Linked DNA regions of Canis lupus familiaris. The protein of the gene in region 2 purifies or fractionates together with the protein of the main gene of each other region. This does not show direct contact. Links are inferred from orthologs where the notes say so. Each region holds a gene or a part of one and is shown on either strand. Other genes may lie near its edges.

Region 1 (7,125 bases), on a different chromosome or scaffold from region 2:
CTCATAATTGCTGGATTAATCCTTTCCAATTTATCTTGCCATTCCAAAGGTGGGCCAGAGGCATGTACAACTCTGTGTGTGTGCGTGTGTGTGTATTTTTCTATTTTCTTTAGAGCACTAATTTCATTCATCCAATCACACAACAAATATATTCAAACATCTGAAATCTGCTGGATGGGGGCACCTGGCTGGCTCAGTCCATAGAGTGTGCCATTCTTGATCTTGGGATTGAGAATTTGAGCCCCATGTTGGCTGTAGAGTTAATAAAAAATCAAAAATAAAAACAAATGAAAAAATAAAATGAAAAATAAAATGTGCCATATGGAGGATACAGTGGTGGTAAATAAGGCACACAAAACCCTGCCATCATGGACTCTACGTTCTAGTGCAGGAGATAGGCAATAAGGGATTCATCAGATAACTCTGCTTCTAAGTGGATTTTACTTGTGTTGGGGGCCCATTCCTCCTAACTCTTTTTCTGCTGGTGCTTCCATTATGTCCACTGTTTTTCCCCTTTCCTCTCTTGTGTGTATGGCCAGAGAGAGAAGGGAGAGAGCCATTTCATTTTTTTAAATTTCTTTTTATTGGAGTTCAATTTGCCAACATATAGCATAACACCCAGTGCTCATCCCATCAAGTGCTCCCCTCAGTGCCCATCACCCAGTTACCCCAACCCCCCGCCCACCTCCCTTTCCACCACCCCTTGTTCGTTTCCCAGAGTAAGAGAGCCATTTCAAACCCTGTTTCTCTACCCTTCAAGTTCTGAATTTGCTAAAAAGTCAGGTTTAGTACTGGTGTTGCACTAGGGTGAAGATGTTGGTATTTTTCATCAACACTGCAATAGTGGGCCGGCCCAGATGTCAGCTTGCTTGTGAGATGACAATGATGTGCTAGATGTGAGAGTTGGACTATTACCTTATAATTTATCTGTTCTTTTTTTATACGAGTTTAGTTGTGCTGAACTCCCTTGTACCTGGCTGCTTTGACAGGTATGCTATTTTAGCAACACAAAACCAAACAGAACGAAAAGAAGAATGCATGGTACACTTTCGCTGTCAGATCCAGGTTGCTCTGTTCCTAAGTTTGGGAGTAATTTGTTCAGGGTTGTTCAGAGACAAAACAAAACAAAACAAACAAACAAACAAAAAAACCCAACAAAACCAATCAAAACTTAGGTTTCCTTTTTACCCATGTGACACAATGTTCTCACGTTCACCTTGCAGGTGGGCTGTTGTCCCTATGGACTGAAGGAGGAACTGGATCCCCTTCCCCATCTTCCTCTTTCATGTCTGAAATTCCACCATTGTGATGAACTTCTCGGGGCTAATCATCTGCCAGCTCAAAATATTGAGAGCTCAGGGCGGACTGACTTCTCAAGACCTTAACGTTGACATATGCGTTCACTTATTAGAACGATTTCTTCCTTGACCCAAAGCATGAAGGGTGAAAGGTGGACTTGGCCATAAACAAGTGAGGTAGAAAGATGATGAGACAATCCTGGCTCAATTCCCCAGAGCGACCCCCAAATATCATCTTGAATGCTGTTTTATTTTCTTTGTTTAGCCTTGGTGTTGTAAGAGGCTTATGTTTACACTTCATCTACTAAGGTTGATAGATTCTAGGGCTGGGCATGCTTCAATCAAGAAGGAGAGACATGGGGAGCCTGGTGGGCTCAGTCAGTAGAGCATGTGACTCTTGACCTCAGGTCATGAGTTTGAGCCCCACGTCGGGGGTAGAGTTTACTAAAAAAAAAAAGAAAAAAAGGTGAGTCACTACTAGCTGCCATGGAAATTTTAGAAGATTGTTCTCAACCCTAGTGTGTGGCAAACAAATATCTGGCTGTGGTGCAAGGTAGCTCTGTGCACCCGATCCATTAGTAGGGCATGTGATGATTTAGAAATTGTTCTCCCAGTCTTGAGCTCCCAGCCTCACCATGACTTCAAGGAACTAGGTGTTGAAGTTGTGGAAGAGATGCAACAGACACCTGGCTTCAGTTATTTAAATTTCAGTTTTACAAGTATTTTACATAATTGAAAAGAAAAATGTAGAAGACCATCCAGCTTCAAGCATTAAAGTCTTATTCCAGTGAAAAAGGGGGAAGTTTTGGGGAAATATTACTTAACAGCACATTTTAAAATGGAAGCAATGTTTTATTTCAGAGAAGAAAATAAAAATTGAAAGGCTTTAAAAAATTAATGATAGTTTAGCATCAACTGGAGGAAAAACACTCTATTAACGACAGAGGATAAAATTATTGACGCTTGTGATGTGATTTAAAGCAACTTTTATGCCCCAAATGCTGAAAGGTAGGTCCTGTACATCAAAGGGCATAAACAAGTCCACATAAAGACAAAGCACCGGGATCCCTGGGTGGTGCAGCGGTTTGGCGCCTGCCTTTGGCCCAGGGCGGGCGATCCGGGAGACCCTGGATCGAATCCCACATCGGGCTCCCGGTGCACGGAGCCTGCTTCTCCCTCTGCCTATGTCTCTGCCTCTCTCTCTCTCTCTGTGTGTGACTATCATAAATAAATAAAAATTTAAAAAAAAAAAAAGACAAAGCACCAATGAAATGATGCTTTCTCTCATCGAAAGCTCATCAAATAAAAAAAAAATGGAACGTCTTCACACATAGACTGATTTTTGTTCGTCAATCAGCACTCTGGGATCTTGGCCAAGAAAGTAGGAAAAATCAGTGTTTACTCAGGATCAAGATTGCTCAAGATGACTAGGAAGAGTAGAAAAGGAGACTTGCCCCATGTTGGTTTTTCACTGACTACTTCTGATTGTGTAGGAGCCTCTGGCTGTGCTCAGGAATGACTGCACACTGATAGTTCTGGTAGTTTCTGTGTTTTGGTCTCAGAGCTTTAGGTTCTTTCATTCTCTGTCAGCATGTTTCTGCCCCACAAGAAGGCCATGTACACCTTGCCTCTATCATCAACCCTTTTGGGAACTTAGTTAAGCTAAGTCATCTCTGGTGGCCCCTGGGAAAACTGTAAGAGTGGAAGCATTAGCAAGCATTCCTGTCTGTGTGCCAGAGTCTGCCCTGGTAGTACAGTCCATATCTTGCCAGGACATTCTTCCAATTGACCTCCCTTCTCCTTCCGAACCCTGTGTGTAGGGTGGGGTAGGGTAGGGCGGGGAGGGGGATTGAACCTTGTGGCAATAACCAAGCTTCTAAATTGCTGAGCTGGTTTTAATTGAAGTGTGAGAAGGAGGTTTTAAGGCAGAGAGACAACATCCTGTTGTTCGGGTTCGGGTGCTCCTCTCTCTTTTTCTGCACATCTGGCTGAACTGGGAGTCAGGTGGCTGACTCCGGGCCCGGTTGCAGCAGCAGTGGCATCTGCCCTCCACTGTCCCACGCCTCAGCGGCCCAAGAGTCCACCAGGCCATGGACGCGGTAGCCGTGTACCATGGCAAAATCAGCCGGGAGACCGGGGAGAAGCTCCTGCTTGCCACGGGGCTGGATGGCAGCTATTTGCTGAGAGACAGCGAGAGCGTCCCTGGCGTGTACTGCCTGTGTGTGCTGTGAGTATGTCGCGGTGGCCGCAGGCTCCAGGCCCCATGAGGGCACCGGCCGGGGGTGCAGGCTCATGTGAGGCGTTGAGGCCTCCTCCACGGCTCATGTGACGGCGCCAAGGCCTTCCCACGGTCCAGCTTAGGGGGTCGTGCTTTGAGGCCCCTCATGGGGCTTTCACTCCCAGGGCCTTCACTCTCCAGAAGGGCCTCCCTGGGTCTTTTGTGGCAGCTGCAGAGAATGCCCTTTGGGGTGGGGAAACGCAGCCTAGAATCTACCTTTGCTCTGAGAAAGATCCAGGCTCCCAACTTCCAGTTTTGACCTTTAGTCGAGGCCAGCTAGGTGGAGCCTTGGCATGGTGGACTGGCCAAAACTGGGGCCACCAGCTCCTGAGGAAAGGAAAGACCTCTCTCCAGATCCCTTTAAATGGAATTGGAGGTGTCCTCCCAAAGGAAACCATCACATTCTGGGAGAGGAAGAAGACTGAGAAACGGAATCCGTGACTTTAGGAGTGCAATTCTGGTTAGGTCGGGGTGCCAATCGGGGTATTTGTAAGTGAAACTGCCTCTTGGCATCTGCTTACTTCGCTTCTTTGAGAGAAGCTGTGTGTGGGGGCAGAGAGTTTCAGAGGTAGGACCCTTCTTGATAAAAAGCTAGGACTGACAGTAGTGGTAAAGGGCATGGAGGGAAAACACCCTTGTTATGATTCAGCTTTGCCGCTTGCCTAGGCATGCCTTAGTCTAACACCCATTTTAAATCAGATGTACCTTCATCTTTGCCTCAAGGGCTCCGAGTCAGGGAGATCTGAGACCTAATCCTGTGCTAGTCTGATGGCAGGCTTGTGACCTTGGCAAGTTGAACTCTCAGTCCTTCAGTTTTCTTGTCCATAAAATGAGTATAATAATACGACCTACCTCATAGGATGGCGAGGATCAAATGCAGGTAAAGAATTTAACACTGGACTTGACACATCATAAATGTCCAGTAAATGTAAGCTATTATCATTATTATTGTATTTTTCTCCAGTTGAGTTCTTTCAGTACTCATGGCACATTTCCAAGGAAGGACCTAGCTTGATCACTTTGTGTCACATGTGAAACACCTGTGCTGTGTAGTCGGTTCTAGTCAGAAACAAAATGAAGGAAAATGCTTGGTAGTAATTTTGATACCTAATGATACACTGCAAGATTGTGAAGTACTTTTTGGGTCCGTGAAAAAAGATCATGCTGAGGCTGTTATTAGATGATTTTCGTTTATTTTGTTTATTTATTTTTTTAACATGGTCAGGCCAAGTTTGTGGCAACTCTCAGGCCTTGCTAAGTACATTTATTATAAAGACTTCAAGAGAACATGTGGAAGCACTTGACTCTCTTGGGCTCGGATCTTTTTTTTCCTTTTGCAGTACAGTTGTCATACAGCGTTATATTAGTTTCCAGTGTACAGCATAGTGATTTGACAGTTCTACACACTACAAAATGCTCACCACGGCAAGTGTAGTCACCATTTGTCACCATACAAAGTTATTACAGTGTTGTTGATTATATCCCCTAGGTTATACCCTTCATCTTTGTGACTTATTTATTTTATAACCAGGAGTGGGGTGAGGTGGGGCGGCGGGGGTACAGATTGAACCTGTGTCAATAACCAAGCTTCTAAATTGCTGAGCTTGTTTTAATTGAAGTGTGAGAAGGTACTAGAAATTTGGACCTCTTAATTCCCTTCACCTATTTTGCCCATCCCCTCACCATCCCTCTCCCCTCTGGCAACCACCAGTTTGTTCTCTCTCTGTATTTAAGAGTATGTTTGTTTATTTTCTTTTTTAGATTCTGCATGTAAGTGAAATCATAAGATATGATATCATATGGTATTTGTCTTTCTCTGACTGACTTATTTCACTAGTCTCTAGCTTCACCCATGTCATTGCAAATGGCAGGATTTCATTTTTATGGCTGAGTAATATTCCTTTCTATATATTATACCACCTCTTCTTTATCCATTCATCTGTTTTTTAAAAATAACTTGTGTTTTTTTGTTTTTGTTTTTAAAGATTTTTATTTATTTATTCATGAGAGACACAGAGAGAGGGAGGCAGAAACACAGGCAGAGGGAGAAGTAGGCTCCTTGCAGGGAGCCTGATGCGGGACTTGATCCCAGGACTCCAGGATCACATCCTGAGCTGAAGGCAGGCCCTAAACCACTGAGCCACCCAGGGATCCCTCCATTCATCTGTTGACGGACACTTGGATTGCTTCCATATCTTGGCTATTGTAAATAATAGTGCAATAAACATAGGGTGCATGTATTTTTTTGAGTTAGTGTTTTTGTTTTCTTGGTGTCAATGCCCAGTAGTAGAATTACTGGATCATGGTATTTCTATTCCAACTTTTTTAAGGAACCTCCACATTGTTTTTTTTTTAAAAGACTTTATTTATTCATGAGAGACACAGACAAAGAGAGAGACAGAGACACAGGCAGAGGGAGAAGCAGGCTCCATGCAGAGAGCCTGATGTAGGGACTCGATCCCGGGACTCCAGGATCATGCCCTGAGCCGAAGGCAGGCTCTAAACCACTGAGCTATCCAGGGATCCCTCCACACTGTTTTCCATAGTTGTTGCACCAATTTACAGTCCTACCAAAAGTGCAAGAGGGTTCCCTTTTCTCCACATCCTTGCTGACACTTGTTACTTATTGTCTTTTTGATACTAGTCTTGGGCTCAGATCTTTATGATTTGCTTACGTTATTTTTTTCCCAAGTGGAAACTTGGGAAGGTCAGTGAAAGCCGCCTAGTATTCTTGGGCTCTTTTCATTCAAAAGAATGTGGTGGAAGGAGTGGGCAAGTGAAAGGGGCTTCTTTAGAGAGGCTGACAAAGGGGCTAATCAGCCCCTTAGCCTAGAGGCAAAAAAAGGAAGCCTGAGCAGGGGAGTAAGATGAGACAGTATGGCAAGATGCACCTAAAGACTCAGTCATGCTGGCCCCTTTGTTGTTTCTCAAACCTGCCAGCTGTGCTCTCTTCCCAGCATCTTTAGACTTTATTACTTTTGCCTCTTGCCTCAGAGACCACTTCCTTGACCACCCTATCTAAATTAAGTACCTTCTCCCTGTGCCTGTTATACTCTATGACTTTATTTTTCTTCAAGGAGCTCTAAACTGTCTGATATTTGATTGTTTACTTATGTATTGCTGTGTTTCTCAGCAAAATTGAAACTCAGTGAAGGCAGGGACATCGTCTCCTGTACAAGGAACACAGGCTAGCACATAATAGCCGTGATGAGGCACGTTACGAGGTACATGGTAGGCATTCAATAAATATTTTTGAACTAACCAATGAATTGCCAAGGCAAATACTCTTCTTCACTGCAAAGAGCTTATTTTATTTTTTAAAAGATTTTATTTATTTATTTGTTTATTTATTTATTTATTTTAAAGATTTTATTTATTTATTCATGAGAGAGAGACAGAGACATAGGCAGAGGGAGAAGCAGCTCCTTGTGGGGAGCCCGATGCGGGGCTCTATCCCAGATTCCGGAATTATACCCTGAGCCAAAGGCAGATGCTCAATGCCAAGCCACCCAGGCATTCCTGCAAAGAGCTTTAGACTGATAATCAGGC
Region 2 (7,123 bases):
ATGTAGTCAGCAATGCTTCAATTTAAAAAAAAATAAAAGAAAGAAAAAAGAAAAAGAGAACATCTTGTAGTCCTTACATAGGAATACATTACATTATATTTACTCATTAACTTAATAAATATTTACTAAGTGTCTGTTACGTTCCTAGGTACTGCATTAGGCTGTGGGTAAGAATGGTAATCAACCCATTTCATGTCCTCAATTAAATCATAAGAAAATAAAGGAGATGGGCCAAGGAAAAATTCTGAACCATTTGAGAAATGCTGTGATTTGAATAATAACAAGAGCAAATCACCTCCCCTGGTTTTCAGGAGGTTTGGGAGAGTTCTTCAAGGAGGTGATATCTTGTATATGAAACTGAGCTACAGACTATGAGAGACTTGCGGATGCAACCAAACAAGCCCTCGTTTTAAGGAGATCATGGCTTTGAACCAAAAATAAAAGGTGGGTAAATGAGGTATTGGATAAAAAGTAAAAATATCAGCTGATATTCAAAGGACAAGGGGAAGCATTTCAGAAAAAAAGAGATTTTTTTTTCATTCAAAAATTCCAGAGCTGGCAAATGGCCAACAGTGTCACTTACCAAATTCTAGGCAAGTGGGGAACAAGAAGGCATGGCTCACATACACGGGGAGCTCAAGAGGGCATCTTTCAGGTATTTACACCCAGAGACAAATGATATCATTCAAGGATCTCTCTCTCTCTCTCTCTCTCTCTCTCTCTCTCCTCCGTGATTCTCATGATCTCCGCTCCTCTGTGAGTGGCAACCTAATTCTTTTCTCCTACAAGCACCCCTAAGCCAGCATCTTTAAACCTTAGCAATGCAGATACAAAATCATATCTCTTAACACTCATATCAGATATAATAAACGACTCTAAAAATGTTTTGCTGTTAAAAAAAATGCTAACTGTCATCTGAGGTTTCAGCGAGCAGTAATCTTTTTGCTGGTGGAAGATCTTGCCTCCGTGTTGGGGGTTGTTGACGGATCAGGATGGTGGTTACTGAAGGGAGTGGAGGTGCAAGTTCTTAAAATAAGACCACAATAAATTTCGCCACGTTGAGTGATACTTCCTTTCAGGAATGGTTTCTCTTTAATAGCATTTTACTCACGGTAGAACTTCTTTCAAAGTTGGAGTCGATCCTCTTAATCCCTGCCGCTGTTTTATCATTTTTGTTTACACCATATTCTAAACACTTTATTGTCATTTCGACAATCTTCACAGCATCCTCACCAGGAGTAGAATCCATCTCAAAAAAAGAAAAAAAAAAAGCATTGCCTCTGCTCATGCATAAGAAGCAACCCCTCATTCATTAACATTTCATCAAGAGATTGTAGCAATTCGGTCCCATTTTCAAGCTCCACTTCTGATTCTGGTTCTCTCGCTATTTCCACCAAATCTGCAGTCACTTCTTGAAGCCCCCAGAGACATCCATGAGGGCTGGCATCAGCTTCTTTCAATTCCTGCTAATGTTGATATTTTGACCTCTTTTCATGAACCGTGGATGTTCTGAACAGCATCAAGTGTGATGAACCCTTTCCAGAAGATTTTCAATTGACTTTGCCCAGATCCGTCAGCCGAGTCATAATCAATGGCAGCCACGGCCTCACAAAAACGGATTTGTCAAATAATAAGACTAGAAAGTCAAAGTGATACCTTGCTCCATGAACCGCAGAGAGGGTGTTGTGTCAACAGGCATGACAGCAACACTGATCTCATTGTCCGTCTCCATCAGAGCCCTTGGGTGGCCAGGCGCATGGTCAAGGAGCATCAATATTTTGAAAACAATCTTTTTTCTGAGGAGCAGATCTCGACAGCAGACTTAAGACCTTCTGTAAACCATGTTGCAGACAGACATGCTGTCATCCAGGCTTTGTTGTGTCATTTCTAGAGCCAAGGCTCTAGTAGATTTGGCATCATTCTCAAAGGCTCTGGGATTTTCAGAATGGTCAACGAGCACTGGCCTCAGCTCATAGTCACCAGCCGCGTTAGGCCCTAGCAAGAGAGGCAGCCTGTCCTCTGAAGCTTGGAAGCCAGGCACTGACCTCTCCTCTCTCGCCAGGAAAGCCCTAGATACCTCCTCTTCCACTATAAGACTGCTGTGTTCACACTGCAAACCGTTGGTTAGCTTGGCCAACTTGGGTGATTCCCTCAGCTAGATCTTCGGAGGACGTGCTGCTTCATCTTGCACTTCCATGTTACGGACACGGCTTCTTTCTCCTCGCCTCGCAAACCAACCCCTGCTAGCTCCAGACTGTGCTCCCGCAGCTCCCCTCTCTCAGCCTTCACTGAATCCAGAGAGCTCAGGCCTCGCTCTGGACTAGAAACTTCGGCTTAAGGGGATGTTGTGGCTGCTTCGGTGTTCTGACCAGACCTCTCAGACTTGCTCCACATCTGTAATCAGGCCATTTAGCTTTCTTCTCCTCCTGTGTTCACTGGAGAAGCACTTCTAATTTCTTTTAGGAATGTTTCCTTTGCCTTCACAACTTGGCTAACTATTTGGTGCCAGAGGCCTAGGCCTTCCCCCGTCTCCACGTTGGACGTGTGTCCTCACTGAGCTTCATCACCGCTAGGTTTTGATTTAAAGCAATGGATGTGTGATTCTTCCCTTCACCTGAACCCTTACAGGCCATTGCCGGGTTATTCACTGGCCTAATGTCAATACTGAGGGAGAGAGCGGCCGTCGGAGGAGCAATCAGCACACACGCGGTACCTACCGATTAAGTTCACCACCTTATATGGGTGCGGCTCATGGAGCCCCCAAACAATTGTAATAGTAGCATCAAAGATCACGGATCAAAGATCACCATATAAATATGATAGTGAAAAAGTTTGGAATATTGCAAGAATTGCCAAAATGGCACGCAGCAAGGAAATGCTGGAAAAACAGCACCGATAGACTTGCGTGACCCAGGGTTGCCTCAACTCTTTAATTTGGAAAAAAAAAACACCATGTCTGCAACGCGGCACAAAGAGGAGTGCAGCAAAACGAGGTGCGCCTGTAATGTTGGGGCGGCCCCACACTGTGAATGCAAGTAATGCCACTGAATCGAGCAGTTAAAACAGTAACTTTTAGGGCCACCCGGGTGGCTCGGTGGTTGAGCATCCGTCTTTGGCCCAGGGTGTGATCCCGGGGTCCTGGGATGGGGTCCCATGTCGGGCTCCCTGCATGGAGCCTGCTTCTCCCTCTGCCTGTGTCTCTGCCTCTCTCTCTCTCTGTGTCTCTCACGAATGAATAAATAAAAATCTTTTTACAAAATCAAGCCCGCAGTGTGCAGGAAGAGGCGTGCGCCACTTCTGATAGGATGAGGAAGTTTTCGTAAGAGCACTTCCAGTCTGTGACAGGCGGTGCAGGCAGCCCGGGCCAGCCGAGCCCCCGCAGCAGCCTGGGCGGCTGACAGCATGCTCTGGGTGCTCCTGCTGCTCCCACTGCTCCTCCTCCTCCGGCCAGGTAAACGCCGCCGCTGCCTCGCAGCCACCGAGGGCCTCCGGGCTTTGCGCAGCTTGCTCCATCTAAGTCACTTGGGCATACCGTCTGTCTGTCTGTCTGTCTGTCTGTCTCTGCCGAGGGATGGAGGGACCGGGTGGGCCTGAGAAAGTGCCACCTCCTGTCGGTTAGCACAAGACGCTCCCAAGCTCCCTCAGGGATCACGGCTCCACTCGTGTCCGCGTCCACGGGCGGCTCTGCGGGCACAGGGAGGGGAGCTTTTCCTGAGAGCAGACTACCTGGGCCTGGGGTCTGGGGCCAGCGTGCTGTGATGCAGGAGAGTGGCCCCTCCTGCCACTTGGCTCCCGTCTTGCTCTGTAACCTCAGGCAGGTGGCTTATTCTTCTTGAACCTCACGAACCTCAGCGAAAATACTGAACATCCAGGGTTCGGTGGAACCGAAACTTCTGGGCACAGTTCAAACACCAGAAATAGATCTATTAGTTTTTGTTTACTTTGAAAAAAGATCTCTCCCTTCCTCTGATGTAAATCAGGGTCTAGCCAGTCCAGCAGGACTCTCTGTGACCCAGAGAGAGGGGTCCTGGTTCCCCGCAGTCCGTCACATGGAAAGCACGAAGGATGTCGTGCTTGGGGAACCACAGGTGGCTACTGGAGCCAGAGTATAGGATTCAGGGACAGATGGCCCAGGAGACAAGACAGGAAAGCTAGGCCAGAACTAGCTCAGGGTAGCGGATAAAAATAGCTGTCTTCTTTGAGGGTGTGTTCTGTTCCGGGCCCTGGGCCAGGTGCTGCGCACTCTTTACATACATGAGCCTCAGCACAGACCTCTGCGTTTGCACTGTATTGACCCCATTTTAAATGAGGCGCCAAGAGGATTTCAATAACTTGCCCAAATTGCATTAGCCAGCAGGTGGCAAGCTCTTGCAACAGTTCTGAGAAACAGTGACCGCTGACCAAGCACAGCAGTAGCAGAAGACAAAACACAGAAGTGAGAGAGTCACCATAGATGTAGAATGAACTAGATTGACTGGCAACAGCAGTGAGGGGAAAGCATTAATTTTCTAGTTTCTGGGGACACTAGATCAGAGCAGGTGAAAAGTCCTGACCTTGCGGAGTTCACATTGAGGCAGGGAAACAAGATGAATAAGTGAAATGGTCTGTTGCACAAGGATAGGTGACAGATGAGCAGAGCAGGGAAAGAGGGGGTGGAAAGGGCAGGGAACTTTCGGACAGAGTGGCCCAAGGTGACAAAGTTGGGTGACAAAGGGGAGCAGAGGAGGGAGCAGCCATGGAGATGGTGAGCTCAGTTTGGGACCTACTAATTTTAAGACATCAGTGTGCTACCCAGGAGATTTCCGGAGAGCTCCTGGAGATTGAGGACTGCAGGCCGCAGGCTTGGAAGTCCTGGCGCCAACTAATGAACAAAGCCTAGGAGAAAGTGCAAGGAGGACAGAGCCAGGGGCTATAGCGTAACCGCAGAAGGAGGGGGGATTTGTTCTATACTCAAGAGCCGCTCCCTGGCCTGGGGGCGAAGCCCCACATCTTTGCTTCCCTTTTACCTCCGGGCAAAATTCATTTTACCACCATGAAATGAAATATTCAGAATGTCCTCAGGTTACAAATCCCCTGCTCCTCCCCATTTCCATTGCTAGCTGTCACAGAGATCCTGTGAAATAGACACTGTCATTCCCACTTCGGGGAAAGAGGAAAGAAGCCATGTGACACTTCAGTAACTTACTTCGTGTCACACAACTATGGGTTGGGGTGGCACCGCAGGCCGCGGTGCAGAAAAGGAGACGTTTGTGAATGCACTTGCAGTGTTCTGAGCGCAGGATGGGGGCAATGAGTGCCGAGGTTGGAAATCAGGGAGCCTGGCTCCGGGGGTCTGTGCTCATAATCACCCGCTATGCTACTTATTATTACATAAATGGATATATATAACCACACACACATACATATATGTATGTATAAATGTGTGTATATATGTGTGTCTGTGTGTGTATATATATATTTTATATATATTTATAAATATATATATATAAAACTACAAAATGTGTATATATAACTACAAAATGTGTGGCGAGGAAGAAAATCGGCAGGGTACCCTGAAACAAAAAAAAAAAGCAAGGGGATCTGCTTTGAGTGGGGTCAGGTGAGTGCAAAGGTCCTCTGCTGGGAAGAGTTTGAGGAAGGGAAAGAGATCTGCCGTGGCAAGGATATGGCACAAATCAAATCAATTTTGAAAAACAGTATGAAGGAAGATGATTCGTGCCATCCTACCATCTTCCCAGTTGGTCAGACACCATAACTTGCTATTTTTTTTAAAAATTAACTGAGAAGATGAACCATGTTGAGAAATAATCCCAAGAGGTATAACTGAAATCAGGTATCATCATGCCCTGGAGAAAATGAATCGCATTTGTTTCTCCATTGTATCCTCTCTAGATGGGAACTTATCAAACACTAATATGCATTCAAATTACTAGGGAATCTTATGATACTGATTCTAAATGCGGACAAACATTCTGCATTTATTTTTTCAAGATTTTATTTATTCATGAGGGACATGGAGAGAGAGGCAGAGACACAGGCAGAGGGGGGAAGCAGGCTCCCTGCGGGGAACCCTACGTGGGACTCCATCCCGGTACCTGGGGATCATGCCCTGAGCTCAACCACTGAGCCACCCAAGTGCCCCGCATTCTGCGTTTATAATAAGCTCCCTGGTAACGCCAGTGTTGCTCCGTGAACCACACCTTGAGTAGCAAGGTTCTAGATTTCATGGGATTTTAGTCATTTTGGGGTTGAAGGAAGGGAGAAATAAGAACTAATTCTTTGAGTACGTTGGCCAGAAGCAGATGGGGGTATCCTGATGTTGAGGAGAGAAGTGGTTGCAAGTGTAGGCAGAGCCCATACGGGGGAGCTAGCCATGTGATTCTGAGGTCCTGAGTTAAAAATTGGTTTCTGCGGAGACATTGAGACATCGTATCCAATGGCTCCCTTCCCCCGAGCAGTGTCGGCTGCCTCTCTTACCAACCATCCACACCTTCCAAGGTTTACAGTTGCTCCTTATTGTTCACTGCGGCAGGGAGTTGTTTTGCATTTTGACATTATCCTCAAGGACAACTGTGCCTTTCCACCTCTCAGAGTCTGAGGTCTGTCCCCATGTGTCCTCCAGCCTCCCACCCCCAAGGTGGGAATGGAGACCCCTCAGCTGGGTCTCTCCATCTACAGGCAGACTTTCTTTCTTTCATCAAGGTGAAATTCACAAAACTTAAAATAATAACTTTTAAGTATATAATTCAGCGGCACTTAGTACATTCACAATGTTGTGCAACCACCGCTTTTATCGTCGCAAAACAGTTTATCACCCCGAAAGGAGACTCTATGTCTGTGAAGCAGGAATTTCCAATTTTGCCCTTCCCCTGACAACCCGCTGCCCCCTGGCAAGTACTAACTGGATTTTGTTCTGTGGGTTGACCTATTCTGGACATTTCATGTCAGTGAAATGGTACAACATGTGACCTTTGTGTCTGACTTCCTTCACTTAGTATAATGTTTTCAAGGTTCATTCATATTGTGTCACGTATCAGCACTTCACTTCTTACTGTTCCATAATATTCCATTGTATATATGTACCACGTTTGATTTATCCACTCATCTATATAGATGAACACTT

Evidence for each region. The genes of interacting proteins can lie anywhere in the genome.
Region 1: the proteins of SLAMF6 (region 2) and SH2D1A purify together in Homo sapiens (co-immunoprecipitation; 5 studies listed by BioGRID and IntAct, with this or other methods). This does not show direct contact. The link is inferred for Canis lupus familiaris from reciprocal best matches to the Homo sapiens genes SLAMF6 and SH2D1A.

Annotation. Positions count from the first base shown.
Region 1 is NC_049260.1:96,498,541-96,505,665, forward strand, and holds the start of SH2D1A (SH2 domain-containing protein 1A), read left to right. Parts: upstream 1-3,191; 5' UTR 3,192-3,388; coding exon 3,389-3,525; intron 3,526-7,125.
Region 2 is NC_049259.1:22,566,931-22,574,053, forward strand, and holds the start of SLAMF6 (SLAM family member 6), read left to right. Parts: upstream 1-3,313; 5' UTR 3,314-3,402; coding exon 3,403-3,451; intron 3,452-7,123. UniProt on the Homo sapiens protein: Self-ligand receptor of the signaling lymphocytic activation molecule (SLAM) family.